2 linked regions of the Saccharomyces cerevisiae S288C genome follow. The protein of the gene in region 1 interacts with the protein of each later gene in a biochemical or structural test. Each region holds a gene or a part of one and is shown on either strand. Other genes may lie near its edges.

Region 1 (17,437 bases):
CGTCATAAAATAAGCATTCAAGCACCACTTTTTGATGTTTTAATGTATTTGCTCATCTCGGCTATATGGTAGAAAGCTTGAAAGTTAAACAGATGTTCATTTTTTCATCCTTACGAATGACCTCTCGTTTATCTAATCTGCTATTACGGTGTACAATAGAAACACACATGTCAAGATATAAACTAACATCCTTATCATAAGAAGAAACTCTGAGCCATCACAATTAGCGGGTAGATTTCTTTTTCCATTAATGTGAGCCAGCACTCTTTATCTTTCGTTATCCTCACTGAAGATATGGTCATCTGTAACGCCCGGATGAAAGAAAGAGAATCGCACTTTCTGTTTGCAATAACATCTTGAAAGTAGTGTTGATGTGAAAGATTGCAAGTATTTCATACCTCAAGTCTTTCTTGCTCCACTTTTTCATGCCAAAATGGGATTTCGTAGATGTTTGTTTATCCACGTCGAATCGTGGCTGTTATTTACTACGTATAGCCTTCCTAGCTTGTAAATAGTTTGAAAATTCCTGACAGAACACTCTTTCTTGCTTTTGCCTATTCTTATGAGCAGCTCTCAGGTACGGACCAGAACGCATAACGATACTTGGTGCTATATTCTCTGAAATATATGATATCTCACACTTAGGGTGCTACACATTTGTCTGAAAACCAACGACGATAAAAGCTATTTAACGTCCATACCAATTTAGCACTATGGGGAAGTGGATGTCTTTTTTTAATCATTTTCATAAATTTTAGGATTTTTTTTTATGAAGTAAACGAATCAAAATTTTTTGTTGATATTCTTTTATTTTTGCGCGAATACAATTACATAAAACTCATCAATTGTTCTCTATTACCTACCCTATTTTTCCCTATCACACGGCCAACGCCGTATACTAACCGTAGTGTGCCATAAAAAGGAATGAACGGGTAAGAACAGGTCATCCCAAACTCGGCGTATTTAATCAGTTCTTCGTGTAATAACACTTTAGGTGAGGGTGATGCTGACAGCGGATGTCAACGGCGAGGCTTGAAAGGATGACAATAAGTTTCTGACTTCGCTAAAGATGTAAATATAGCTTGAGTTATTGACAATAATGGATTAGACAAGAAGATTACATACGTCTCTGATGTTTTACGCAGCGCTGTCATACTCACACGCTTCGGCTCTACTCCTTCAAGTAAAAATCTTTTGTGTATACGTATCTTAAGCTTGGAGTAGAAGCTGTCTCTGGCCTTTTGTACTCGTTTACACGATTACAACTGATCAACAGATCTGGTTTTTTTTTTCAGCTGTTACAGATGGATTTGTAAGCCGAAAGGTATTTTCGTCATCCCCTTATATAAGATGGGAAACGAAGGTAAAAGATTAACGATAGCATCGCATATATAGGATTCCTAATTACTTTTTCGAAGTGCAAGTGGAGTATCGAACATGTCTCTGTCTGTTTACTTCGACTTTTATAGTGGCGAGATAATAAGACTATTTTATTAGCAAGGGATAACTACACATTTATTGAGGCTCCTCTTTATCCTTAAAACGGAACAAGGTTAGCATGTCTTTCAATCTTAAGTTTAAGAGGCCGCCGGACATCTTCATATCAACCCTTTTCCTGCCAGGAGGCAGGCACAATCATTTGTTGTGCATGTAGGGCTAGATTTTTGAAAATTTGGCATTTCGAGCATATGGGCCCCAGAATAAGCTTCAGGCTAGTTTTTTTTTTTTAGCTTCTATTATGTATGCCCGTCAAGATCATTAGTATCGCATGATTTGGTTGATTAACCACAGAATGTTGAGAAATTCTCACAATGGAAGACATATCGGCCTACGGTAAGATTACACTGAGGACCTTATGTAGTCTGATTGCTTCTGTTTACGCAGAGCCCCGCATATTTTGATAGTTTGATATGAAACCTTTACAAATCATTGAGAGTGCGCCGTACTCGTCGAATCGCGGGGAATGTCTTCTATTAACGTGTCCTCTACGGGCCGTCATTCCAAACGGGCAGCTGTAGGCGACTAATGAACCACCTCTGAATGCAAAGGATGTAAACTGTTGGCACAATAATGGGGCTGACGTAGCGTGAAGAAAATATAACTGATATGTTAAAGGAAATACAAAAGATTTCATGACCGCTAACACAACAATACTAAGTTATGAGGGTAGAGATTTTTCGTTACTGTTGCTATAAGAACCCGAATCAAGACCGTTTATCATATATGAACTATTATGATTGGCAAGGCTTTTTCTTAATTCAAGTCACACGTCGAGGTCTCCCTTGGAATTCGTATAAATCACACTAAAAGTTCTGTGGATTCTATTAAATGAAAGCAACGGTTCCGCTTTGGATGCATAGAACCTTCGTGAGTAATTATTTTCCAATTGGAGGAATGGATGTTATCATCAAACGATAACATTCATAGCCAAGAAGTATTTGGGTTTTCTTTTTGTCACATGTAGACTTTGATACTTCTCTGTGCAAGCTATGACAGGTTACAAAGCGCATTGAGTGGCGGGCTGCAAAAAAATGAGGAGATATTTCAATTAACAAGATCTAGTTTCCTAATACGGACCTTTTTCGGAGCGCTAGGATCAAAATTGGATAGCACAAACAGCTTCTCTCTCTCTACGAGCTAAGATCCTCTGAATGGTGCTTGCACATTCTCGTTTGCAGCATATTTACTCCTTTTCGAGTGTGCTAAACCCCAAGTGACCCAGTGTCTACTGACTGGGAAAAAGTGATCTTTCTGTTTGGTAGCGCGTATAGCACGTAGAGTAAAGTTATGTGAATGTCTATTGAACGACGACATCAAATTAACTTTTTTTGCAGTTCTGTCACTTAATCACAGATAATAAGAGCAGAACAATTTAGGCACGGGGAAATTCGATCGATCTGCCCATCCGTAGGCGTTTTCTCCGGAGAAGTTTTTACATGCTGCGCATTTCTTTGGCGGTGAAAAAGACAGTACATCGCGTGCCTTTAAAGATGTCAAAAATTATACGAGATCTGTTTAAGATCTCCATCGTTCAGGAACTGTAAAACAAGAAGCATTGGCAAAGATAGTGATTTTGCTCCAATATATTCGTTTATACAACAGCTGTTTGGTTCGAAAGCCTATAAATGGCCTGTGTAAATGGCTGTATTGAGAGTATGCTCAAACTGAAATAAGTACCAGTTCCTGTCGAATCTGCGATATCCGAAAAACTCCGAAGAAAGCAATGGTTAATATAAGCATCGTAGCAGGAATTGTAGCCTTAGCTACTAGTGCGGCTGCTATTACAGCGACCACTACTTTATCTCCTTACGATGAAAGAGTCAACCTTATTGAATTGGCTGTTTATGTTTCTGACATCAGAGCCCACATATTTCAGTACTACTCTTTCCGGAATCACCATAAGACTGAAACATATCCTTCGGAAATCGCAGCAGCCGTTTTTGACTACGGTGATTTCACTACTCGATTGACCGGTATTTCGGGTGATGAAGTAACTAGAATGATCACTGGTGTTCCGTGGTACTCTACCAGATTAAAGCCGGCTATCTCTTCAGCGCTTTCAAAGGATGGTATTTACACGGCTATCCCAACCTCTACTTCTACAACGACTACAAAATCTAGTACTTCGACTACTCCTACCACCACTATCACTTCTACTACTTCTACCACATCGACTACTCCTACAACCTCTACTACTTCTACCACTCCTACAACTTCTACCACATCGACTACTCCTACAACCTCTACTACTTCTACCACTCCTACAACTTCTACCACATCGACTACTCCTACAACCTCTACTACTTCTACCACTCCTACAACTTCTACCACATCGACTACTCCTACAACCTCTACTACTTCTACCACTCCTACAACTTCTACAACTTCTACCACTCCTACAACTTCTACCACTCCTACAACTTCTACAACCTCCACCACTTCTCAAACTTCCACCAAATCGACTACTCCTACTACTTCAAGCACATCGACTACTCCTACAACTTCTACCACTCCTACAACTTCTACAACCTCTACCGCTCCTACAACTTCTACAACTTCTACAACCTCTACCACTTCTACCATTTCTACCGCTCCCACGACCTCTACAACTTCAAGCACTTTCAGTACTTCTAGTGCCTCTGCATCCTCTGTCATTTCTACCACTGCTACAACCTCTACCACTTTTGCCAGTCTTACTACACCTGCCACATCTACGGCTTCTACTGACCATACAACCTCTAGTGTCTCAACAACTAACGCATTCACTACTTCTGCAACTACTACTACTACGAGCGATACATATATCAGTTCAAGTAGTCCCAGCCAAGTCACTTCATCCGCTGAGCCTACTACTGTCAGTGAAGTCACCTCTTCTGTTGAACCTACCAGGTCTAGTCAAGTCACTTCATCCGCTGAACCTACTACTGTCAGTGAATTCACCTCTTCTGTTGAACCTACCAGGTCTAGTCAAGTCACTTCATCCGCTGAACCTACTACTGTCAGTGAATTCACCTCTTCTGTTGAACCTACCAGGTCTAGTCAAGTCACTTCATCCGCTGAACCTACTACTGTCAGTGAATTCACCTCTTCTGTTGAACCTACCAGGTCTAGTCAAGTCACTTCATCCGCTGAACCTACTACTGTCAGTGAATTCACCTCTTCTGTTGAACCTACCAGGTCTAGTCAAGTCACTTCATCCGCTGAACCTACTACTGTCAGTGAATTCACCTCTTCTGTTGAACCTATCAGGTCTAGTCAAGTCACTTCATCCGCTGAACCTACTACTGTAAGTGAAGTCACCTCTTCTGTTGAACCTATCAGGTCTAGTCAAGTGACCACGACAGAACCTGTTTCTTCCTTCGGGTCTACTTTCAGTGAAATCACCTCTTCTGCTGAACCTCTCTCTTTCAGTAAAGCAACCACTTCCGCAGAATCTATCTCCTCTAATCAAATCACCATTTCCAGTGAACTAATAGTTTCTAGTGTAATTACTTCCTCTTCTGAGATTCCTTCTTCCATTGAAGTACTTACTTCAAGCGGGATCAGTTCATCAGTTGAACCCACTTCTTTGGTTGGACCTTCTTCTGATGAATCCATTTCTTCTACTGAAAGTCTATCTGCCACATCCACTTTCACTTCAGCCGTTGTTTCCTCGAGCAAGGCTGCTGATTTCTTTACCAGATCCACTGTTTCTGCTAAATCTGATGTCTCTGGTAACTCCTCTACCCAATCTACTACCTTTTTTGCTACGCCTTCCACTCCACTTGCTGTTTCTTCAACTGTGGTCACTAGCTCTACCGATTCAGTTTCTCCTAATATTCCCTTCAGTGAAATCAGTTCCTCTCCAGAGTCGTCTACTGCAATTACGTCTACATCCACTAGCTTCATTGCTGAGCGGACTTCTTCCTTATATCTTTCGTCATCAAATATGTCAAGTTTCACTTTAAGTACTTTCACTGTTTCCCAATCGATCGTCTCTTCATTTTCTATGGAACCTACATCGTCAGTCGCATCTTTTGCATCAAGTTCCCCTCTCTTAGTATCCTCAAGAAGTAATTGCAGTGATGCCAGAAGTTCCAACACCATCAGTAGCGGTCTGTTCAGCACGATAGAAAATGTTCGTAATGCAACCTCAACATTTACAAACCTATCAACAGATGAAATTGTCATCACGAGCTGTAAGAGTAGTTGTACTAATGAAGATAGTGTTTTGACGAAAACTCAAGTTTCTACCGTTGAAACTACTATAACTAGTTGTTCGGGTGGTATTTGTACCACGCTGATGTCTCCGGTTACTACTATTAATGCTAAGGCGAACACATTAACAACTACAGAAACTTCCACGGTCGAAACAACTATAACAACATGCCCTGGTGGTGTTTGCTCGACCCTGACTGTTCCAGTTACTACAATCACCAGCGAAGCCACTACCACCGCTACCATTAGTTGCGAAGATAATGAAGAAGATATCACTTCTACTGAAACCGAGTTGCTAACTTTGGAAACTACTATAACTAGTTGTTCGGGTGGTATTTGTACCACGCTGATGTCTCCGGTTACTACTATTAATGCTAAGGCGAACACATTAACAACTACAGAAACTTCCACGGTCGAAACAACTATAACAACATGCTCTGGTGGTGTTTGCTCGACCCTGACTGTTCCAGTTACTACAATCACCAGCGAAGCAACTACCACCGCTACCATTAGTTGCGAAGATAATGAAGAAGATGTCGCCTCTACTAAAACCGAGTTGCTAACTATGGAAACTACTATTACTAGTTGTTCGGGTGGTATTTGCACCACGCTGATGTCTCCGGTTAGTAGTTTCAACTCCAAAGCCACTACATCGAACAATGCAGAGTCGACCATCCCCAAAGCGATTAAAGTCAGTTGCTCTGCGGGTGCCTGTACCACCCTGACTACTGTCGATGCAGGGATTAGCATGTTTACCAGAACCGGATTGTCTATCACTCAAACTACTGTGACCAACTGCTCAGGTGGAACCTGTACCATGTTAACTGCACCAATCGCGACCGCTACCAGCAAAGTCATCTCACCAATTCCAAAAGCCTCCTCGGCTACTTCCATTGCTCATTCATCTGCTTCTTATACTGTCAGTATCAATACCAACGGTGCCTATAATTTCGATAAAGATAACATTTTTGGTACCGCTATCGTTGCTGTTGTCGCTTTATTACTGCTATAGTGATACAATATAATCTTCACAAGCATATAAACAATTGTAAAATAATTTAAATTGACTTGAAAGAAATTTTAAATCTATACTTGATTCATGTAGCACATAATACTACGGTTTGTGAACATACTCCTATACACTTTGAATGGTTTGTATGATATACAGGTATCTAAACATTAGTGTTACCAGTTCGTATATTAACACTAGTTAAATTTGAATCCTCTAAGGTATCGCCAACAAGTAAAATTTTACATTTAATTGAGAAGTTTTTTAATTTTTCTAAGAAAACATTAAAAATATCACAATATGGGCTTCAGCCTAAAATTATGGTTTTTTTTTTCCCTCATCCTTCATTTTATTACCTCCGTTTATTGACGTGTTCGACAACTCACATATGAAGCTTTAAATACTTTGTTCACTGTTAGTTTAAATAAAATTTAGCCTTTAGGTTAAAAATCGTGTCAAAAAAGGAATTCTTCCAAGAACATGAACTAAAGCTCTTCTTAAAATAAAGTTATGTAAGATAGAACTACGCGGCACAAAGATGGAATTGAGAAATAACGCTCCATAAAGTTGACGCTGCTAAATTCTAGGTCACAAGGCATTAGAAATGAGGGCCTTTGAAAAAATTTATTCAAGTAAACTGCTTTCTGAAGAGTTCGCTCTCATCGACATTGGTAGAAGAATAGTGTAGTGTAGTAGCAACCGTTAGTAGTTTATTAATGTCTAAAATTCAGTATAACTAAGAATAGAAGCAAGTATTCTTATACGGTATAGCAGAAACGTATAACTGATGCGGCGATGACGAATGTATTCAAAATGATGGTATTTCAGTGATTTGCTATATTTCCAATGTAATAACTCGCATCCCTACGTATATTAAATTTGAATTAACATTGAATTAATAGATCTTTAACGTAACTTCTTCCGCTAGTTTCGCAGTAGTATCTTGTTTCCTAGCCTGGAGCTATGAAGTATACTGTTTGGTCACTTTATTCAGTTACTATGGTTACTAAAATTATAAACCACCCGTTCCGACAACGACAATGAAGATCTATTTTGCAAATTTGGAACAGAAATAACCATAACCATGAGGTTCGTTATCGTTGACTACATATTACAATCCGAAATGAACATTCGGCCTAGAATGCATTGTACCTTTACAATACTTTGTAAAACATCTTTCAATGTGTATTTTCCTAGCTTAGGTAACACAACTAGGTAACTTATTGGGATGGTTGAGTCTTAAGTGCAGGCCATTTATTATCAATACTGAATCTTGTATGTTTTTGTCAACTCTTGACAGAAAGCTTCAGTCAGCGAAGCAAACTTTCGACCTTCTGTATCATATTTTTCTGCTCTATTTATAGCGAAAGAGAGAAGCCTACAAGAGGATAAGTACTAATCTTGTGATTATTGATTTTCTCCAAAGATTGGGAAAATTACTTAGTTGCACAGCGGAAATGTTTCGATCTCTGACTTTGTAATCGTCAAAATATTCTAGCAGAGCGCAACTTATTTAATTCATACTGTGCGTTCTCCTTGTGGTTTCTAAGACAATCTTTGAGCATGTTTATGGATGCACTTAGGGGTCCTACAAGCCTTCGTATGAAGTTGCCCCTCGCAAGCACACTATAAATTCATGAACAATTGCGCAGTCAAAGTTAGATTGTAAGCCGAATTCAAACGATTTCAACAGTCGTAGCTAACGAGGCCTTTTGTCTCACACCCTTACAAAGGGACTGTAGAATGCAAGGGCAAACAGGCCTGAGGTAACTTTAAAATATAATGTACCTTGAAAACTATGTATACATTGCATTTATTAAGCAGTAGGGTATTTTGTTTGCAAGAAAATAAAGCTCAAAATATCTTTGGAGTTTGACAATAGTATAGAAAAAATAGCTCAGCAACCTTAATAAAAAAAGGGTCATTGGGCAAAGCGTTTTAAAAAGATTTAAGTGGTAGTGTTTAAAGTGAAAGAGATTGATATAGTTAAAAATTGTTGAGCTCAATTCACGCTGGATTCGGCGATCCGTTTTCTTCAATCCTCACGTGCTTTCTTCGTTTGAGTGCAAAAGTTCATATGATGCTATCTCCCGCTTATCTTATTAGTCGAAAATGGGGAGAATTTCCTATTTTATCTGTCGTTTAGCACATATGGCCAGGAAAATACATAAGGTTTCGCCGAACGACGGGGTCAATTCGTCCTTTTTGTACACATCGTTTAATTTATGAGGAAAAATTGATGAATGTATCCTCCGTAGACGCTCCTCTGAAAAGTTTCATGTTTCCTGCGCGTTCCTTTGATAGGCAATAAAACAATACAACGCGTGCCTTTGAAAATGCCAAGATCTATACGAGGCCTCTAACAAAACATCGTTCAGGAACAGAGAATGCTAGAAATGCAAAAGGGTCCCTGGGTACTCATTGAATAGAAATGATTGAAAATACTGCGTATAAAATAGCACGACTAAATGATACTATTTTTATGTCGACACGGTACTATTTCTTCTTTTTCAGATAAAAGTGTAGCATACTAAATATATACCCCAAGTAATGTCTAGAATTAGTATATTAGCTGTCGCCGCAGCATTAGTGGCAAGTGCAACCGCCGCATCCGTGACCACCACTCTATCCCCTTATGATGAAAGGGTCAATTTGATTGAATTGGCTGTTTACGTTTCTGATATTGGCGCCCATTTATCTGAATATTACGCTTTCCAGGCTTTGCATAAGACTGAAACATACCCACCTGAAATTGCCAAGGCTGTTTTTGCCGGTGGCGATTTCACCACCATGTTGACTGGTATTTCAGGTGATGAAGTGACCAGAATGATCACCGGTGTGCCATGGTACTCTACTAGATTGATGGGTGCTATTTCCGAAGCACTTGCGAATGAAGGTATTGCTACTGCAGTACCAGCTTCTACCACAGAGGCTTCTTCCACCTCCACTTCAGAAGCTTCTAGTGCCGCCACTGAGTCTTCTAGCTCCTCTGAAAGTTCAGCAGAGACCAGCTCAAACGCTGCTTCCACCCAAGCTACTGTTTCATCTGAATCTAGCTCTGCTGCAAGCACCATTGCAAGTTCTGCTGAAAGTTCTGTTGCAAGCTCTGTTGCAAGCTCTGTTGCAAGCTCTGCTAGTTTTGCCAATACCACAGCTCCAGTTTCTTCTACATCTTCTATCTCAGTCACTCCAGTGGTCCAAAATGGTACTGACAGCACCGTCACAAAGACTCAAGCTTCCACTGTTGAAACTACCATAACTAGTTGTTCAAATAACGTCTGTTCAACTGTGACTAAGCCAGTCTCCTCCAAAGCTCAATCTACAGCTACTTCTGTCACATCGTCAGCATCTCGTGTTATTGACGTTACCACTAACGGTGCTAACAAGTTCAATAACGGTGTTTTCGGTGCCGCTGCTATTGCTGGTGCCGCCGCTCTATTGTTATAGTGATCATGTGCGGCCCTGTACAGTTGTATAAATGATGTAAAATAATTGAATTCTCTTAATTTTAATATTTATAAGATATATACTATAAGCGTAAGGAAATTCCAAAGAAATTTGTTTTTTAGTTTGCAGTCTTGTGCTCCAACTATTTCCGGTCCTTTTCGAATTTCATGTCAGGAGCATTCCTTATTGCAGACAGCTTAACAGAAAAAAAACTGTGAAAAAAATAAATACCTTTAGATATTAAAGCCCTAAATTGATATCAAATTTTTTCCATATTTGGATTTTGTATTCCTTAAAGCCCACATCCTGTGAACGGTTACGCTCAAATAATGGCCAAGTAACCTACGATCCAATAGCGACGTATATATATCATATAGAAAAAGGTCATCCAGAAAATTTGTGTCAATAAGTATCAGGTCTTTTATATGTATTTATATTATTTTCCGTCAATTTTCAATCTTGCGCCCATAGTTTCAATTTTCTTGTCTGTTGTGATTCCTGATTGGACATTCTGAAATCCTTGTCCAGCTAAAATAAAGTTAGCCAATTCTGGATACTTTTTTCTTACTTGCTTGAAAGCACTATACATGTAGCCATATGGAGGAAGCTCCTCACCTTGAAAATTAGCAATGACTTTTTCGATAAAAGGAGTAGAGATGGTCCTTGCAGGCTTTCCTGATATTATATTAACCATTTTAGTTGTTGTTTCTCGAGTGAAGGGGCTTGAAAAGTTTTTTGATGCATTGGATTCACTGCAACCAAGAAAAGCAGTCCCCACTTGAACAGCGTCTGCTTGCTGTGATAACATGTATGATATATCTTTGGAATCCATTATACCACCTGCTGCAATGACAAAGGGAGTAGCATGTATAAGACCTTTATTTTTCATTTCAGCAAGTTCATCAACTGTTCTTTTCACCAATTGTACAGTTGATAAGTTTTCATCATCTTTGGGGTCATTTACTAAGAAATTTCCTCTATGTCCTCCCGCTTCATAGCCTTGACACACTATGCCATTAATGCCGAGACGTGCTAACAATCGAACTTCTCTTACAGAGGTGGCAGTCACAAAAATTAGAATTCCAATTTTTTGTAAATATTCTATTGTAGATTTCGACGGATGGCCAAAATGGAAACTAATGATTTTAGGCCTAAAGCCATCTGATAGGTACTGGAAAAAATCTTGAAGAGCATTTTCTTTTTCAAATGCCTTAAAAGATACATTACCATTATCGAATTTAATCTCATTCATATCAATCGGCACATTCATAGACTTTCTGTATAGCTTCGCCCAGTTAGCTGTTTGAAGATCGGTCGGTTTATCAACGATATCATGGCAAAAAAAGTTTAGGTTGAGATTGCCCTCTAAAGATTCATCGGCTACTTGATCTCTGAATTGTGAAACCATCAGTTTAAGCTTTTCAATATCATTGACCTTTCTGAAGTCTAAGTGGGATAGGGGTAGTGAAGCTATGGCGCCCGCAATACAAGCCTTAGCGGCCATTTCAATAGTCGTGACCCCCGCCATAGGGGCCTGGATGATAGGGTATCTCAAGTTTAAACATTTTTGGAAAGATCTGCTCATATCTTCTCTTTTATCCACCGACATTACGGAAACGTCTTGAAATATTAGTTGGTTTAAAAAGTACATGAATTGTCTTGAGTTGCTTCTAAGGTATGTATGGGCCCTTTTCTATCCGCGCAAAAGATGTCCTTGATACCGATAGGCCAGCACTAGATGACAAGAAAAAAAACGAAAGGATAATTGCAGGTTTCGACATACATTTTTTATCAGATCACTGCAAAATCCAGGAATTCATATATACAATGTCAAAGGGTATGTTATATTCTGACATGACCCCTTAACTCAGTAGAAAAAACGCTCTAGTTTTATTCTTTTTAACTTTTAATTACTTTACGTAGCAATAGCGATACTTCAGTTCAAATCAGTAACAACCCTTGACCAATTGCCATGCTCAGTCTCGCCATATTGGATTCCATTAATCCATTGTGCAACTTCTTTGGCCAATGGACCGGTTTGTTCGCCGGGCAACAACGGAATATTAATTTGTTCGCCTTTCCAGCCGATTTCCTTAATGGGAGAAACAATCGCAGCAGTACCAGAACCAAAGGCTTCAAGTAGTTCACCGTTCTTGGATCTCTCAGTAACTTCGCCTATAGTGAAGTAGCGTTCACTAATGGTCCATTCACTTGGTTCGAGTCTTTCTTTAGCAAGATTTAAAATGGAATCCCTAGTAACACCTTCCAAAATGGTACCGTCTAGTGGAGCAGTAACTAGTTCCTTCTTGCCCGTTTTACTATCTTTAAACACGAAAAAAGCATTCATGGTGCCGACTTCAGTAATGTTGTTATTTGGACCAAATAGCCATAAATTTTGTTGGTAACCCCTTGAAGCAGCTTGCAATTGTGGCAGGACGCAGGGGGCGTAGTTTGCACCTAGTTTCTTGTCACCACAGCCTCCTGGCCAAGCTCTTGTGGCATAATCAGTGGCTTCCAGTCTGACCGCCTTAAATCCAGTTTTGTAATAAGGACCCACAGGGCAGCAAATGACATATAGCAAGGCTCTATCAGGCGTGGAAACCCCTAAACCGGCCGTAGTGCCGATTAATGTAGGCCTGATATATAAAGAGTAACCTTTTCCTTCAGGAACTAAGCACTTATCTTGCTGGATCAGTTTCCCAATTAGGGTAATCAACTCTTCTGGGTCGAACGTTGGCAAACAGATTCTCTGAGCAGACTTATTCATGCGCTTCATATTCATATCTGGACGAAACATTGTAATTTTGTTGTCCACCGTTCTGTAAGCCTTCATCCCTTCGAATAGCTCAAAAGCATAATGGAAAACCACCGCGGAAGGGTCTAAAGACAGATTTTGATAAGGTTTAATCTCTGGGGTACCCCACCCTTTTTCAGCTGTCCATTCCGCAGTTAACATGTGGTCCGTGAAGCTCTTGCCAAACACTAACTCACTGTTCGGTTTTGGCTTAGATGCATGTTGTGTGGTAGTTATCTTAACTTTGGAGGCGTCTAGGGGTGCCAAGGTCATATCGTTCTTAAAACTCGTGGAGATGCTTTCCCTTAAATTTCTAAAATTTTAGTAGTTAGTCTGTTTTTATTAAGGATTTCTCAAAGGAATGAATTTTTTCCCAGGAAATAGTCGAATATCTTGTAAGCTTATATTAGTTATACTGTCAGCTCATTTCGGATCTCCTCTCACTCACGTACGGCTCTTAATTTCTACCTATTATTTCCGTTTTTGTTGACAGAAAAACGGACATAGAAGAACGACACCAAAAAGAAAAAGAGTCGGATCTACAGATTAGATAACAAGAGGTGTCAGAGAGGGAAAAGAAGCTAAATTAAGTGTCACCCGAAAGCGGAAAAAGAACGCCGTTTGCAAGAATGGTTCCGGGGCCAATGGAACATTAAACTTTGGTGTAGTGCGGTCACAGAAAAAAAAAATCGTACACGTATATAGTGGTATGCTAGGTCGTGAATGACCCTCAGAGGCAGGTTTTCACGTTCGAAGATGTTTGGAAAGGAGCGTTATAAGTTGTGTTGGGGTGAAGGGGCTAACTAGGATGTCACTGAACCCCAACTGCAAAAAATGGTGGAAATAATAGCGAGAGTAGTTGGAGGGAGCAATGCTGGTATCTTGAGGGGAGACGGGTCTGTTAATAATGGCTATTACAGGAAAGCTTGGGAGTAGGTTTCTCAGTCTCTTGAAGTAGATGAGATGTTCTTGTTGCATGTTGGGCGACACGGTGACGAAAAGAAGGTCGTATGCCTCGGGATGCAACTGCGGGTGCCACTGAGTGGCCGTATCCAAAGAGCAGTTCATAAATTCGAACACGCCGGCGAAGCGCATCAAAGGTGTTTCTGACAATTCGGATGCGTTTGGTATTAGTAACAGCAACGAGTAGCGTTTGGGGCGCTTTGGTTGGCGTTGCTGGTGTTGTAGACAAGAGTCCGGGCATACAACCTTTTTGATGGCTTCAAAATTTTCTTGAAGGAAGTTAGCGGTTTGGTAGGCGTGAAACTGGTGGTAGGAGATTGTCTGTAAGCTGGCGTTAATTTCCCTTATAATACGCAGACTATCTGCGTTTGTCGACTTAAGCTCATCAAGATTGCCCTGAAGCCTGTCAACATTTTTCACTAATTTCTCGAAGGAAGGCTTGCCGATGGCCTTGCTTAGAATGGAGTTCACTTTGAAAGGGTCCCAGTGAAAAGTACACTGCTTATTCATATTATTGACGGCGGCGACATTGGGAGTGGCGGCAGACTGATGAGCTTTAACCAGTGAGAGGCTATTAATGTTATCTTTTTGAAAATGAATGTTGGAAAACTCCACGCAGTCCGGGCGGCCCGCCTTCTGGAAGTTATATTTGCTCAATTGCTTAACGAATGCTGCAAAGGTGTGAATACCAAAAAATCGCTCTAGGATGACTTTGGTGAACTGGTCCGGATTCCAAATGACGAGCTTGCTGCCATCAGTCGACCATTGTATTATGTTCGAGTAAGCGTTCCCCTGCAGCAGGTGGTAGAGTTTGCTTACAAAGACATCAGGCTGCTCCATCCTCGATGTTGCATCCATGTCTGACGTGCGTCGCTACACGAAAGAGACACACTTGGCGACTGCCCTGACTGGCAATATATACAGTCCGCAAATGTCGCGGACTGATGCGTCCACTTACTCTTCCTATATACCACCTGGGTGAAGAGGAGAAGTGAGCCCGTTCTGGAGATATATGTCCAAATATTTGCAGATCCAGTTTTGTCATTATAATGAGATGCCTTTTGGGCGACAAAGTTCGGGTAAAAGAAGGACGGGTCCAGGAAGGCCGTGGCCACAGAACAATGCGCAGAGAAGATTTCCGGTTTCTTTTTGGCTTTTCCGACTTTCATCTTTTAGAACTAAAGATTTCCTGCATCGGTAAACCTTAGCAATGTTTCTCTAGAGGGTTTTTGCACACCAGACACGTCGCACGTGCTCTTGCAGAGACTGCTGCGCTTTCGTTTACACTCAGATAACATAGTCTAGCTAGCTTGCTGTCGTTCGGCACGAGATCTAATCCTTCTCCTGGCCTACCGTCTGTGCAACCATTAGTCATGATTACGTGTGTTGCGCCTTATCTTGTCATTATGGCAGCATACTTTTCGTAGTCCTTTCCTGCGCAGCTTGTCCATTTTCGTCATTACGTAAAAAGTCCTAATGGAGAGCTGGGTACTGCATTTTTTCGATGTTTTCAATATTCAGTTCAGCAGGAAATAAACAAATAAACAAACATTAAAATATCCTGGTTTTTTTTCCCAGAGACGCGTGGAAGCACCCATGCATCCACTATTTATTTTTAAACAGCCGTACATTCTGTAATTTTGCTTCCTTTTTCTTCCTGCGTTCTTTTTTTCTTGAACTGTCGTTTTCCGTTATTTTTTTCGGTGACATCAGTTGAAAGTAGCAGCGGCCTAGGCCGGGAGGCCGTGTAGCTCTTTGTAGTCGTGGTAAGGGGGAGTAGCAATTCACTTAGTACGTGGTCTTGGAGTTAGGCTGGCTCGGACTGGCCCTGGCAAGTCCTGTTCTGTGTGGTAGTATTGAAATTTCAGAGATTGTCGGCAATACTAGTATATTAAAAATTATACTATAATTTAATCTAGTGTTGAAATACTTTCTTATATAGCGATTTTTCTGCCCAAAACAAACCAAAGAATCAATACGCAAAGATGGCTAGAGGACCGTATGTTTGACTATAGACTTTGATTATAATTACGCAAGGATGAGAAGAATGATAGACAAGAAACAAGTGGAGTCTTAACCAAACGAATAGGAACAACAATGAACCAGTTTATGTCCATTTAATTTTAGATCATCCTGGGATTGTACAAATATTTTACGAGTAATGATTTACTAACGAGCACAATGAAAAAAATAAAATGTCTGTATCTTCATTATACATTCATTTTTGCCCTTTTTTCTCATTTTTTTCCGTACAGAAAGAAGCATCTAAAAAGATTAGCAGCTCCACACCACTGGTTATTGGACAAGTTGTCCGGTTGTTACGCCCCAAGACCATCTGCTGGTCCACACAAATTGCGTGAATCCTTGCCATTGATTGTCTTTCTAAGAAACAGATTAAAGTATGCTTTGAACGGCCGTGAAGTCAAGGCTATCTTGATGCAACGTCACGTTAAAGTGGACGGTAAGGTTAGAACCGACACTACCTACCCAGCTGGTTTCATGGATGTCATCACTCTAGATGCCACCAATGAAAACTTCAGATTGGTCTACGATGTCAAGGGTAGATTCGCTGTCCACCGTATCACCGATGAAGAAGCTTCTTACAAGTTGGGTAAGGTCAAGAAGGTTCAATTAGGTAAGAAGGGTGTTCCATACGTTGTTACCCACGATGGTAGAACTATCAGATACCCAGACCCAAACATCAAGGTCAATGACACTGTTAAGATCGACTTGGCCTCTGGTAAGATTACTGATTTCATCAAGTTCGATGCCGGTAAGTTGGTTTACGTTACTGGTGGTCGTAACTTGGGTCGTATCGGTACTATCGTTCACAAGGAAAGACACGATGGTGGTTTCGATTTAGTTCACATCAAGGACTCCTTGGACAACACTTTCGTCACTAGATTGAACAATGTCTTCGTCATCGGTGAACAAGGTAAGCCTTACATTTCTTTGCCAAAGGGTAAGGGTATCAAGTTGTCTATTGCTGAAGAACGTGACAGAAGAAGAGCTCAACAAGGTTTATAAATTTCATAACAACTTAATTATTTTCTTCTTTTGTATATCTCCATTAATGTTTATTAGAAATTGAATTTTAAAATAATACATCGTATCTTCCTTTTTCGACTGGCAGTAATATAACGTATAATATATATATTAGGTGTGTGTATATATATCCGTATTGTAATATTGATAGTAAAAATACGCTAACCCTGAAATAGAAGGCGTATGATAAGACGTACTGACACTACGCACTACCACAATATATGCGTATGTGTGTGTGTGTGTGTGTGTGTGTGTGTGTGTGATTGTATTGGAATATATATACTTACTAAAATTAGCTTATATGGTTCGCATATTGACTATTTATAAGGATATTCAACTTGTCTGTCCTTTCTTAACCAAATTTTCTTCTTTCTCTTGGTGGTAACATGTTCCACAAACTTCTCAGTACAATGATCCACTTTGAATTTCTTTATGAAAACAGGGTCCCATAATTCAGAACCGACGCCGAGATCTTTGCAACA
Region 2 (13,628 bases), on another chromosome or scaffold:
CTTTGCTATCAGATTGAATATCAAAATTTTTTGACTGAGACTGACGGTACGGTTTCTCCTCTTTCCCCTAAGCATAGTAGCTAAAACTACCGAAAAAGCTATACCAATCGGAGTGAATTGCGAGGAGCATGACTAGATGTCACGAATGTTTTGGAGAAGACATGATAATGAGTTCACTTACTGTCACCGCCTGGGAAGCTTCCTCTGGTCCCTGTGCGGAAATGCATCACCGCCTAGCGACTCCCGCCGCAATCAGTGCCGTGCCATCTAGCGACGCCGTACGGCCACTCTACACTGCCAGCGACGTCGCTATCGGTATTGGTTGCCGTTAAGTGAAAAAAAAACAAACATCGCTATCTCAACAGAGTTCCACTGGGAAACAATAGACGCACTTTTATGCACCCTGGTGCCTTCAAAAAAGAAGTTTGACTAAGAGGGCTGAGGCTTAAGCTTTTTAACCGTAGTAGTTCAACTATATAAGATAACGATTTCGAAAAATAGGAAAGATACAACCATTCTTTATCGTACCTATAAGGATGTGAGTCCTTCTTATCAGGGGGAGTTACGTAAAAATGATTCCCCACTTTTTGTCTTCTAGAAACAAACCAGCCCCGCTGTCAAGATAAGCTTAATTTTGAATTGCTTTTTTTTTTCTTATCTTAGGTAAATAGTATACAAGCACTTACATAATTGATAAGAGAGCTCATGAAAAATGGATACCAACCTGGTGAAAAGCATATAATAGCCTTAGGAAATCATTTTGATCACATTTACCCGCTCTTTTGTCGCCTAAGTCGGTCTCCTTCAGAACTGTGTCAATCTTTTCCTTGACGACATCGTGCATAGAACCCTTTGTATCATCCACCATTTCGTTGTTCATCGCCAAAAATGTCTTATAATTCTTCTCCAGAATGTCCATCACGGTGGTCGATTTGAAGCCAGCTGAAATCGTTCTGTTTTTCCTCACAAAGACGATTCTCAACAAACCATCCCATTCGTTGTAATCCACTTGCGGTCTTGGATTTTTAATCTCTAGTCTAACAACGCTGGATTCCACTTGTGGTGGCGGTCTGAAGTTATTCTTACCCACTTTCATGATGTGTGTAACATTAGCCCACATTTGTACATTGGCGGATAATCTACAGTATAATGAGTCACCTGGTCTTGCCAGTAATCTTAAAGCAAACTCTCTTTGAAACATAAGAATAGATACTCTTGGTGGTCTTGGTTGGTTAATTAATTTGAAAACCAGAGGCGATGAGATCTGGTAAGGAGTGTTACTAATACAGATATCAAAGTATGGTAATTCAGTCTTCATAAAATCTCCAAGCATGATTTCTAACTTTTTCTCCACAGGTGTGCCACGTACCCTCTTAGTTAATTCTGCAGCCATTCTGGGATCCATTTCTACTGCCACTACGTTTTTTGCTTGTTCGAGGATCCTTACAGTTAGGTTACCTGTACCAGGACCAACCTCCAAAACAACATCTGAGGGTCTAATCTGTGCCTTATCAACAATACCTTGCGCCACCAAAGGATTTTTCAAAATATGCTGACCTAGATCTGTGTTGAATTTAAATACTGAACTCAAATGTTTCTCGGCAGAGACTTGTTTGGACGAAGTTGCTCCGGAGTACTTCTTTTTCGCAGCCTTTCCCATGGTATAATTTTATTTTTATTTGTATCGATATAAAAGGTACGACGTCTAAAGCTTCTAACCGAATGAGTCCACTGTATAATGCACTGTTCCTAATTTATCGATCTTATGTTATAACCAAATATTTTCAATTTTCAGCTCATCGCGATTTTCAAAAATTTTTCTACCCTCTAACCCGGGTAATACACAAGGATGGATTTATTATTATTATTGATTCTTATTATTATTACTACTCTGTTAGTAATTTACACACGAGGTGAGGAATACGTGAATGAATTAAATTGGTATCGTTAATTAATTATTAGACGCTAACTGTGTACATTATTTACTCATCTTCATAGACGTGGAAGGACAGTTTTCTCACTACTTTTTTTTCACTGACGTCATCGGTAGAACGGGATATCTTTGTCTCTGGGTTCTGTCCTTGGTGTTTACTAGTGAAGAAAATAGATATCTTCGAATTTCTTGGCGGCGTTATAAAACTGGGTAGGCTGATTTTTTTATCACCCAGTGGCAACGTCAGTGGTATAGTCTCATCGGTGAGAGGATCCTGTATGTAACCTTTGAATTCGTCAACACTTAAGTCCTTCAATGCAATTCTTCCTCCTTCCCTTAAAAATGCTCTTTCATAAGGGCAAATTTTAGCGGGTGAAAGGTTTTCTTTTACTTGGGAAGGATTATTCTCATTGCTCACAGAATTGTTATTATTGTATATTTCATTATGTCTGTGGACAGCTATGTTTCTTTCTTCAGCCGTTTCCTCATACAGCATAAATTGTGCAGCTTTAGAAATTTGGATTGTCTTTATTGGACTTCGCCTTAGTGCATAGTCTGTGTCTATTTGTGACCTTCTCTTTGATGGTGAACGAAGTTCATTGCCTTTTACCACTGCTCGTGGTTTTTGGTTTATATTCTTGCTTGATAAAATGGTTCTCTTTTTTGATGGTGATATCATCTTTCAGTGTCTCTTACTTTATTTCTTCCAAAGGATCCTAATTCAGTAATGCTTAATATGTTCTCCTTTCTTTTTACTTTATATAGTATGATAACAAAAGCACAAAACTTCAGAAAGAAGACGCGTCAACGCGCTACGCGAAATATGCATCAACTTTCTGCTGAAGAGAAGGCAATCAGCGAAAAACAGAAGTTGTTATTGTGTATTGTCGTGGTACTTCGTCGTCCCATTTGATATATCCATTCTAGGTAATCATGTTGGTATATGCAAGTAGGTATATGTACGTATTTATGAATATGTGTATTTGGCCGGAAAAAGATCGCCTATAAAATTTGTGTATGAATAAATAAAGTGCAAAATATGTATTGTTCCCCCTCCATGTTAAACAACGGAATGTGACGATATCCCATCCTCAAATAGTTCAGCTTAAGGCAAACAGATGCAATCTGGGTCTCTTCAGAGATAACCATGAATTTTATAAATGTGAGGTCTGTATCTTTCAATGTGATAGAAACTTCAGCATCCCATATTGGGTTGAATCCATTCCCTTGAGAACTCTTAGTGGATGCTTCAGTGGCAGAAATCCTTGTACCCTTATCGATTGAGATGGGCATTGTCGGCTCGTCATCGGTATGAAACTCCACTTTAACAAAGGAATTGGTGTTATTTCTGCTTGGCGATGTATCATTCAATCTGGGCAATAACTGTGTAGATAAAATTCGAATTTTAACAGTAACAGGATCACTACCATTTTCAAAATGTTCGTAAATTAATGGAATCATTTTCGCCTTTGTTACTACAGGTAGCAACTTTTTTGGTTTTAGCACGTATCCTGATTTAAAACTTCCATCAGGTTGGTGATCTAATATTTGAAACATTGCCAGATTAAGTTGCTGTCCAATATCATTAGTTTGCCAATTCGTAGCCACCATTTGTACACCGGCCTTCCAAAAAGGTATTGGGTTAAAATTTGATGATTTGTATCGTAAAACGTGAGGATAGACTCTCATCAAATATCTTCTATTATGTTTATCCAACGATAATTTTAAGTGTTTGTCTTTTATCATGTATTCTACTTTGCGCTCATTCAGTGAAAAACAATGCGCTATCGTTTTGGACTCTGGTAAAGAGAAATTCCTGAACTTGATGCCATGTATTCCAGAAATGTTAGAAACATCATTAATTATATCAGCGTGCTTTTTTAATCCAATTCTTTTGATGCGTTGCATACTAGAAGAATTTGTTGCGCTACTACTGTTCGTGGAGTCATCTTTCATTCTTAATTCCTGTTCATTAGCTGATTCGTAAGAAGAACTAAAAGAAGATGGAAATGGCTCATTAACGCTAAGACCTCTAGTTGCTTCACTCGTCTTCTTGGATTTCAACAGTATTTTATGTTTTAATTCCCTTGGTGATGGCAGTTTATCAGTTCTTGTGCCAACAAAGTACAGCTGTTCTGCTAAAACCTCTCTCATTATCAGGCTTGCCAATTTTTGATTATCCTTGTTACAGTTTATTTCCAGTGAAATAATCAAAGGATACGGAGACGTTATAAAAGCGTACTTCTTTATCACGCGTATAACTGTTTTTAAGGGAATAGCTGACGTTAAAAATCCATGGCATACCACTGGCCCATTTTCACCATCCCATATATCAATTTCTACGCACCTACAACCTTGTTGTAGGACTTGAATATATCCCTCCACAGATGGAGTTTCTGCAATTTGTTTCCCCAATAAATAAGTATTATGTGAAGATGCAATAAAATAATGGTTTAATGGCTTTGAATATAACTCCTCTTTAACCTCCACCAAATATGGTTGCTCCTTCAAGAACTTGGTAAAACCATCTTGCCCCATCGTCAGCTGAGTCGGTTCTCTGTACTTAATAAAATATGACCATGCAGTTTGACGATCCACTTGCTCATGCTGCTCTGTAATTAAAAATTGAAAAAAATTTTCAAATGATAAGTGGGAGTGTGGAGGTTTTGTAAATTTAGACCAAATCATATTTACCTCTTTCCTATTCTTTAAGATTTTAATGAACTTTTCAAATTCAAAATAATTTAATAGTCCGTTATGATTGATGTCTGCTAATTGGAAAAACTCTAACAATTGACCAGTTGACACATAAATATGAAATTTATCACATAGTTTCTTCACATCTGCAAAGCTCAATGTGTCCTTTTTCTCATCTTCCTCTTTTTCAGAAACAGTAATTTGCCAATGTATCCTAGCGAATTGCGAATTATCAGGCAAAAGTATGCTTTCCATTAATTCCCTCCTTAACTTCACTAAACCGCAAATGCAGCTTAAGAATGTGTTAAAGTCCAATTCATTCAAAGCAACTACGTGTAACGCTTTCAATTTGTTGGAAACCTTATAAATAATAGCAATCCAAAGTTTACTGTCCGATCTCAATCTTTTCGGATCTACTTCCTCTTGATAAGTACTCGCCGTATCACCGATTCTGATGTCTTTAACGGAGTCTAATTCCAGATACTTCGAACCATCTTTCCATATTATTTGCCCGTTGTTATTGATTAATTTAAATTCATAGAACTTCCTTCTTCTTCTTGTCATCCTAATCATCCTGATTCCTCTTTGCAATACGCGACATAGCGTGCTGAGATCACAGTCTTTTCTTAATTTCTTGTTAACAAGCTCATTTATCCCATGTGAATAAGTAAGAGGCCCCATATGGACTCTAGGCAATTCGGCTGCTCTTCTAAAAATCGACCTTATGCTTCTTCTCACAGTACTTCCATTGTTCGCGCTTTTTTGGTCAGTATTAAAAGAGGATTGAAAAGAACTGTAACTTATAAAATCTAAAGCATCATCCTTTTGTGTTATTTTCCCTTGATCTCTGCATGAGTGTCGTTGTAACTCCTTTGTAAGATTAAACCTTTGGTCATCTATAGCACTTTCAGTCATTCATATACACTGCGTGAATGACCTTACCGTTGTACGTTTATAATTCCCAGTCTTTTATTGTTTTAATGACCTGAGGCTGCTTATGTCGTGATGCTTATACTATTTTTTTTATAAAGCGTCGGGTAAAGGTGTCAAAAACTGTAAAATGAAAACGTGCGGAATCTTCATGGACTATTTAAAATTACACATAATATTACATTATTTAAACTAGTATTACAAATTCTATGAATGGAGAGGGTGAGAGGGAGGATATATAAAAATGTATAAGTATACAGTTTTAGGTTAGTATCAATAAGTTGGGGTTTTATCTAAACGCCCTTCTCTTGGTGAAAGTAACTGTGATAAGGGGGTGGGAGGCCTCAATCGGGTTCTTCTTCTTGTCGAAGGGACCCAAACTTGACTATTAGGTGTCGTGATTTTTGTTGGCGGAGTCTGGAAAACCTTTGCTATCGGTGTGTTTTCTACGGTGACTTTCACCACTTTATCCTTGTATATAGGGATCCTAGAGGGCAAGGACCGGTAATGATTCCATTTATCTTTTTCGATGTCAAGCACAGACTTATTCTTTGCCATCAAAGGAGTTTCTGTAATCTGTACTTTATTTTCATGCCGAGATGTAATGAAGGAGTCTGGTGACTTTTCATTTTCCCCACGAGAAACACGGAGGGTGGTTTCATCGGTTTCGTCATAAGGTAAGGGAGGAACACTACTTAGTATCAGTTTTCCTTTGTTTGGCGACTCCGGATCAAAAAATGGATTAATCGCATTTGATGAATTTGGGCTTGTTGCAGGTTTAATATTCATCTTCTGCAGTAACGCTTTACCAAGCTTTTTACCTTTCAAAGCCACTGTAGTTGAATTTTCCGGTGTTTTATTACTGTCACCTTCATTAATGGCGACTCTCTCCTGGAAATCCTGGGTTATAGTTCCAATAACACTATTCGGTCGCCCAAAGCCTAATGATTTCGGTTTTGGAATCTTCTTCTTGCTAGTAGCTATTTTGTTTGAAGCGGAGGATTTGATTAGAATTTTATCCGCTGTAGGCTTGATATTCAGCCATCTTTGAGCTAATTCATTTGTCTTCGATGCGACGCCAGCGTCCAAAAGTGAGAATTCCAATGCTCTGTAAATAATATTGAATGTCTTAGAAACAGTTTTTGATTTTCTCTCCAATTGCCTCTCGAGCCTTATAGTGATATCTTTGGTATACTTTGTTGTCAGTAATTTCGACTGCAACCTTTCTATCTCATCAAGAATGTATAATAGTTCATGATTTAAATTAATAAAGAGTATATTCCAACGTTTGTCGATTAGTTCGACTTTCAATTCCCTAAACTCTGAATTCATAAATCTATAATCTTTCATTATCAGCTCGTATTTTTTTTGCAAGATTGTTTGCAAAGTAGTTATGTTTGTTATATTCCGGTGCCCAAATTGCACAATTCTTTGAGGTAGGATATCAGTCAAACTTTTTTCAATTGGAGGGATATTTTTTTTTAGGTTCAAGAACTTTCTTGATAAAATATCTTCTGCCGGAGAAAATTTTGGTACCTTTGGCTCAGTTGTCTCCGTATGCGTTCCTAATAACTTGACTAGTTGTTCTAGGGTAAATGATGGAGTATGCCGTATCGGGGACGCGAACCTTTCTTCCTGAATTTCCAGACAATACGATATATTGCTATTAATGATTTTATGTAATGTATCCATATGATCCTTTGAAATTTCGTTAAATTCCAATGACGTATCCAATAATTCCTTCAAGTTAGTAAGCCATGGCTCCAACTGAGTCTTAATTTGTGTAGATTCTTCTATGACGTCAAACATCGGGCTAAATCGATTGTATTTGTCGCTATCCTGATCGTCCTTCGAGAATTCATCCTCTAGTAAATCCAACAAATGAGCAAAACCTTCCTCAATATTATGAACGTCACTAATAAATTGATATAGCATATATTTTTTCAATAATAACCAGTCCATAAACAACAAAATATCGTCTTTTCCCAGTCTTTTCTTGTTGACTAAGTCGGGAATTACCGAGGCAACGTTCTCCAAATCATCATAAAATTGAACTAACAATGTCTCTGATATACTTGTGGTACTCTCATTCAATGAGTTGCAATCGTTTATTGAATGTAATGTATTGTGAATTCTTTCTAAACGTTCACAAAAGTTCTCTTGGAAGTCATCCCCAATGGTCATAGATCTGGGTCCATCATTATCCATGGCAGTGCTACTGAAATCTTTAAGGCTGTTACAGACAAAGATTCGTGCGGCCACATTACACTTTGTTATTGTTTCAATGTTATTTGTTTATGCTACCAAAAGTATCGATTCGGGTAATGAAAATCCTTTTTATTTGGCATTTAACAGTATTATATATAGTATATATTTAAATGTGCGAGATAAGAATGGGTATATGCGATGCGGATGACTCACGGTTGTGGTGTGATCTTAATTGGATTAGCCTCCTTTGCCGCGTCTTTCAGGAGATGTTCGACAGATTTTTCAATATCATCTGAATTATTGTCTTTCGTCTCTGGAGACTGGTTATTGCTGTCGTTATCATGATTATTATCATTATCGTCATTATCGTCCTTTTTCTGGTCATCATGCTCCTTACTCTCATTCAAATCTTCCTTTTCGATGACCTTCTCTATTTGCAGTTGTTGGTCAGATGGCCCAGGAGCCGCTTTCTCATTAAGTAATTGCGATAAAGCACTTGTTGGATTCGCATACAATTCTTTGAATTTGCCCATTTCTACCACTGATCCATCATGGCCAAGGACAATAACATTCTCTGATCTTCTGATCGTACTTAGCCTGTGCGCGATGCTAACAATAGTCATCGATTTTGATTTCATTAGTTGACCAAACGTATAGTTAATGGCTCCTTCACTTTCAACATCTAAAGCTGATGTAGCTTCATCAAGAATCAAAATAGTTGGCTTTTTGATTAGAGCCCTTGCAATCGCAATACGCTGCTTTTGTCCTCCACTTAGTAAGGTGCCGTGAGGACCAATTACCGTATCGTATGTGTTCGGAAATTTTGTGATAAAGTTATGGCAAAAGCACTGCTTTGCTACTGACCTGATTTCTTCCTTTGTTGGGGTATATGTCAACCCATAAGTGATATTATCCCTAATAGTACCTGACATCAGTACCGGCTCTTGCTGAACGATACCAATATGCCTTCTTAGGGATTTACAATTCAATTTAGAGATATCTTGGTTATCTATCGTAATAGTCCCAGTAGTGGGATTATAATATCTTAGCAGTAAGAGTGCAATTGTAGATTTACCACGACCTGAAGGGCCCACAATACAAACACTCGATCCTGGCGCAATTTTAAAATTTAAATTCTTGAATATTTGAACAGAAGGCCTTGTAGGGTAGCTAAATGAAACATCTTTAAATTCGATAACACCACGATCTGGTTTATACTTGTGTCCCACAGTCGGTGAAATGGAAGGTTTCCTATCTGTTAATTCAAACAACCTGGAAGCGGCCCCAGCACCCTGCATAATTTCCGAATAGAAGGTAGAAAGGCCGAATACCGCATTCCCCGTATATTCTGTGTACAGCATAAATGCAGTCAGATCACCAATGGAGAGCTGTGATTGTAAAACAAGATAGGAGCCATACGCAAGGACGGTTAAAAAACTTAGGTCACCTAAGAGACTAGTTGTAGTAAAAAACTTTGCGTTTGTAAATGCCGCAGTTTTTCCCACCTGAAAAATATCTCTAATTGCAACGTTATACCTAGACAATTCATTACCTTCAGCAACAAACGACTGAACCGTCTTGATACCAGAGAGTTGTTCTTCAGCGACTCTAGTCAATTGACCAGTAGCTTCTTGAAGGTCTTTAGAGGTGTTTCTAATTTGCTTCCCGAACACTGAGGCACTAAAAAGAACAGGTGGAGTGAAGAATAGTAACAATATTGATAGTTGAGGTGACAAAGAACACATCATCCCCACGCCAACAACCCCACAAATTAGGGCTTTGACCCCATCCGAGACCTTCTGGGTCATTGATCTTGAAACAACATAAGCATCAGATCCTAAACGAGAAATTAAATCCCCAACTTTATGGTTGTCGAAGAATTCTGCGTCTTGATGAAGCGTTTTTTTAATGACATTTGCCCTTAGGCGTGCAACAACACGCTCACTTAGTATCCTCAATAATATAAATCTACCAAAATTAGCAGCACAACCAATCAGTAAAGCAACAGTAAAAAAGGAAAGAAACTCATATAAAGGCAAAGAAAAAATCGGTATCTTCAAATCAAAAAAATCTGATCCAGATGACGTCTTAAGTGTGTCAAGGACAATACCTATGACTTTAGGAATAGACATGCCTATGGAACATGATATGGTTAAAAGAAGTATGGCTGTAAGAAGCAGTTTCCAATCCCGTTTCGCCAACATAAATAACCTTATTATATCTTTATAGTCATCAGTTTTAGATTGCTCCTTTGCATGTGCCGACCTTGCTGATCCTTTAGATATGGGAGAGGCTGAAGGCAGAGAAGTTTCTGGAACTGTTTTGGATGAATTACATCTAAAACTTTGTAAAATTAGTGATTTTCCAACTGCAGGTGACCTTAAACACAACCGACTGAGAGGAATGAGCTGCGATGAAGAAGGGGTGACCAAAGACCGAAACCTTATAGATGGCAGTTTAGCCAGTCGGGGACGGGACAGCATGTTTCTGCATATGCCCAGCCGCAAAAGTGGTAAACGACCATTCAACATTGCGATTGGCGATGATGGGACATATATTTCTTTTTCTTTTAATGCAATGATACAAACTTTATACCACTCTTCGAAGCGGCCAGTATTCAATATCATTGTAGTCATTATTAGTTTCCCGTATAAAAGTACGTAAGTTTTCATACACAGTTGCTAGAATATTTAAAATGTATATCAGCGAGTAAAAAAAGAGCTGCAGTTCCCAGGAAGCGTTAAACTATTTTGTTATTGGAGTGGGTTCAGAAGCTGCAGTGCCATTTTTATATTGGGTATAAAAAGCATCTGTTTGCGATCTGTTAAGAACACTAGCGGTTTGTAATTCAGTTTTCAATGAAGAACGGATAGCCTGAGCGGCCACATTCAAATATGCAGCATATGATATACCAGCTTTCCTCCAGGCAGACATTTTATGAATCGGTTGTGGGCTGAAACTGTTGATGTTTCTTAGAAATACATATCTTGCTAAGTACTCAATAGAAAGGCCTACTTGTATCTCTTCATTTAACTAGACGAAAAAGGGGAGGATCAAATTTCATTGGTTCGTATAAAAGTATTAAAAAATAAGCGCGTTGCCAGACTTAGTGTGAGATAGTAAGCTAGTAAATCATCTGCTATTACCTAGTTTAGCGTATTTCCTAATAAGGATTACCAATTCCTCAAGTTCATGGCTTGGTAAGATACAGCTATAGCTTTCTTAGTTTTTTTCTTCGAGAGAACTAGTACAATGCTTCTATAGAAGTTAAGAAGTTTACCTTTTCGAAGAACAAATATATTGTTGCTTTGCTTACTCCGAGGTTATCGACTATTTTTGGCAATCCGTTTGAACCTGGATAAATACGTAAATCAGACTTTCTTTAGCCGGATCAACTCTTTTTTTTTTGTAAGCACTCTGACTTGTCGCTGCTGTGTCTGCCAATAATTCAATAATTCATAGTATTTCATACCATATGCTTTATTTAGTGTCCCACTGATGTGAGTTGAAGAATTGTATTCAGATAGGCATATCTTAAGGTCCAACTATTGCCACCGTCGTAGTGCGGAAAGGTTGATTATCGAGCGAATTAGAGGAATAAATGCTGCTATGCGCACGATGAGCAAATCGGAAGTAAACCACGCCGCTGATCCACCTGAACAAAAGAATCTCGCGGAGTTACGATTTAATGTAGGTTTGCTCAGATTACGTTACTGATACTTTACTTTGGACAAAAGTTCTCATACAAACTGTGGAAACAACACCGCTTAAACCAACGATTATGAAATGACATGGTCTAAAGTAATATAATCTATATTAGAATGTGCAGATGGCTATGGTATCCATGCGATGGCAAACCTCCGCAATGATTGGCGTTCTAGCGGCTATCCGAATTCACAATCGACAAGAAGTACTTCTAACTTACACAAGGCAACGAAATAATATCACTCTATGAAACTGCCATTTGGGTAATAGGAGTATATTGAACGACACCGGGTCAACAAGCAACTTTCCTAAGCCTTTTACACTTCTTCACATCATTCAAGATCGCCTTTTAACGAGCTACAAACCTTCACGTTCGTTCTTCTATGGAAACGTTTAAGATAACGTTAAAACGTTCTCAATCACAGAATTTAAGATGATTAGAAATGTTTTCCAAGGGATAGGGCGAAGCACAACCTCGAAAAATGGCAAAATTTTAGAATCTTAGCCACCTTAACGTCTACTTAGAGCCTTAGAAAAGCCATCAAGATTGGTGGAATAGTTGTTGAGGGAACTTAGCCGCCACATTCTCGTAGCCAAATAAAGCGAATCTGACCATTGTATGTTTCTTTTTCACTGGTATGATAGCCCAATGTGTTTAAGGAAAGTTAGGACAACACACCCGAAGAAGGACGTCACCCCTGCATTCCCAAACGAGCTATGAAATAGCTCTTTCCTCTACAAGTAATAACAACAACTTTTTTGTCTGTTTTCCGACCGTTTAACTTCAGAGATTAATTTTTTCAACGCGCTTTCGTTGAACGTCGCAAATTCGTTTAGAATAAACGAAAGGTGACAGAAATAGAAGATTATAGCCATGCATACGCACATAAATTGAAAACTGTTTCGAGGCTGAGTATTCCCTGCGTCTGCAGCCATCAGGGGTATGACTCTGCTACACGTTTACTATATTCTTGGCTAAACGATTCATTAACGAAGCGATGAGTAGATCACACTCGGCATACGAGCACAAATTTGTATGGGGGGACGGTCATATATAAAAGGGTGTATACGTTATCCTTGTTATACCTGTCCAAAGAAGTGCATTTGTAACTCACAACACAGACACATCCTCACTTTATCATAATGACTACGTTTAGGCCACTATCAAGTTTTGAAAAAAAAATTCTCACTCAATCTTTGAATGACCAAAGAAATGGAACTATTTTTTCGAGTACATATTCAAAATCTTTAAGTAGAGAAAATGACGCTGACTGGCATTCTGATGAAGTCACGCTCGGAACAAATTCTTCCAAAGATGATTCTCGTCTGACTCTGCCCCTAATAGCAACAACTTTGAAGAGATTGATTAAATCGCAACCGGCATTGTTTGCAACTGTAAACGAAGAATGGGAATTCGAGCCATTGAAGCAGCTGAAAACTTCCGATATTGTTAATGTGATTGAGTTTGAAACCATAAAAGATAAGGAGGTCAATTGCCATTGGGGTGTTCCACCTCCTTATCTCTTGCGTCATGCCTTCAACAAGACTAGATTTGTTCCCGGATCAAATAAACCTTTATGGACACTATATGTAATTGACGAAGCGCTATTGGTTTTTCATGGTCACGACGTATTGTTTGATATATTTTCAGCAGCTAACTTTCACAAATTATTTTTAAAAGAGTTAAACGAAATCAGCACAGTAACACACTCTGAAGATAGGATTTTGTTTGATGTCAATGACATCAATCTCTCAGAATTAAAATTTCCCAAATCGATATATGATAGCGCAAAATTACACCTGCCCGCTATGACACCACAAATCTTCCACAAGCAAACTCAGTCATTTTTCAAATCAATATACTATAACACTTTAAAAAGACCTTTCGGCTATTTAACCAATCAAACTTCCCTCAGCTCGTCAGTATCTGCAACACAGCTGAAAAAGTATAATGATATTCTAAATGCGCACACCTCATTATGCGGGACAACAGTATTTGGGATAGTAAACAACCAAAGGTTTAACTATTTAAAGTCAATCGTTAATCAAGAGCATATATGTCTAAGAAGTTTCATCTGTGGTATTGCAATGATATGTTTAAAACCTCTCGTTAAGGATTTCAGCGGTACAATAGTATTTACTATTCCCATAAATT

Evidence for each region.
Region 2: the proteins of RPS4A (region 1) and DIM1 are reported together in a solved structure, tested with the Saccharomyces cerevisiae proteins (one study listed by BioGRID).

Annotation. Positions count from the first base shown.
Region 1 is NC_001142.9:701,527-718,963, reverse strand, and holds RPS4A (40S ribosomal protein eS4 RPS4A), read left to right. Parts: upstream 1-15,895; coding exon 15,896-15,909; intron 15,910-16,165; coding exon 16,166-16,937; downstream 16,938-17,437. Other genes in the region: DAN4 (Dan4p), read left to right, coding at 3,224-6,709; DAN1 (Dan1p), read left to right, coding at 9,257-10,153; YJR149W (putative nitronate monooxygenase), read right to left, coding at 10,590-11,804; branched-chain-amino-acid transaminase BAT2, read right to left, coding at 12,090-13,220; HMS2 (Hms2p), read right to left, coding at 13,692-14,768; YJR146W (uncharacterized protein), read right to left, coding at 14,726-15,079; MGM101 (Mgm101p), read right to left, coding at 17,273-17,437.
Region 2 is NC_001148.4:27,153-40,780, reverse strand, and holds DIM1 (putative dimethyladenosine transferase), read right to left. Parts: upstream 1,661-13,628; coding exon 704-1,660; downstream 1-703. Other genes in the region: ACM1 (Acm1p), read right to left, coding at 1,983-2,612; PLC1 (phosphatidylinositol phospholipase C), read right to left, coding at 2,936-5,545; KAR9 (Kar9p), read right to left, coding at 5,834-7,768; ATP-binding cassette permease MDL2, read right to left, coding at 7,978-10,299; ATP15 (F1F0 ATP synthase subunit epsilon), read right to left, coding at 10,514-10,702; PBI1 (Pbi1p), read left to right, coding at 12,617-13,628. UniProt on the Saccharomyces cerevisiae protein: Specifically dimethylates two adjacent adenosines in the loop of a conserved hairpin near the 3'-end of 18S rRNA in the 40S particle.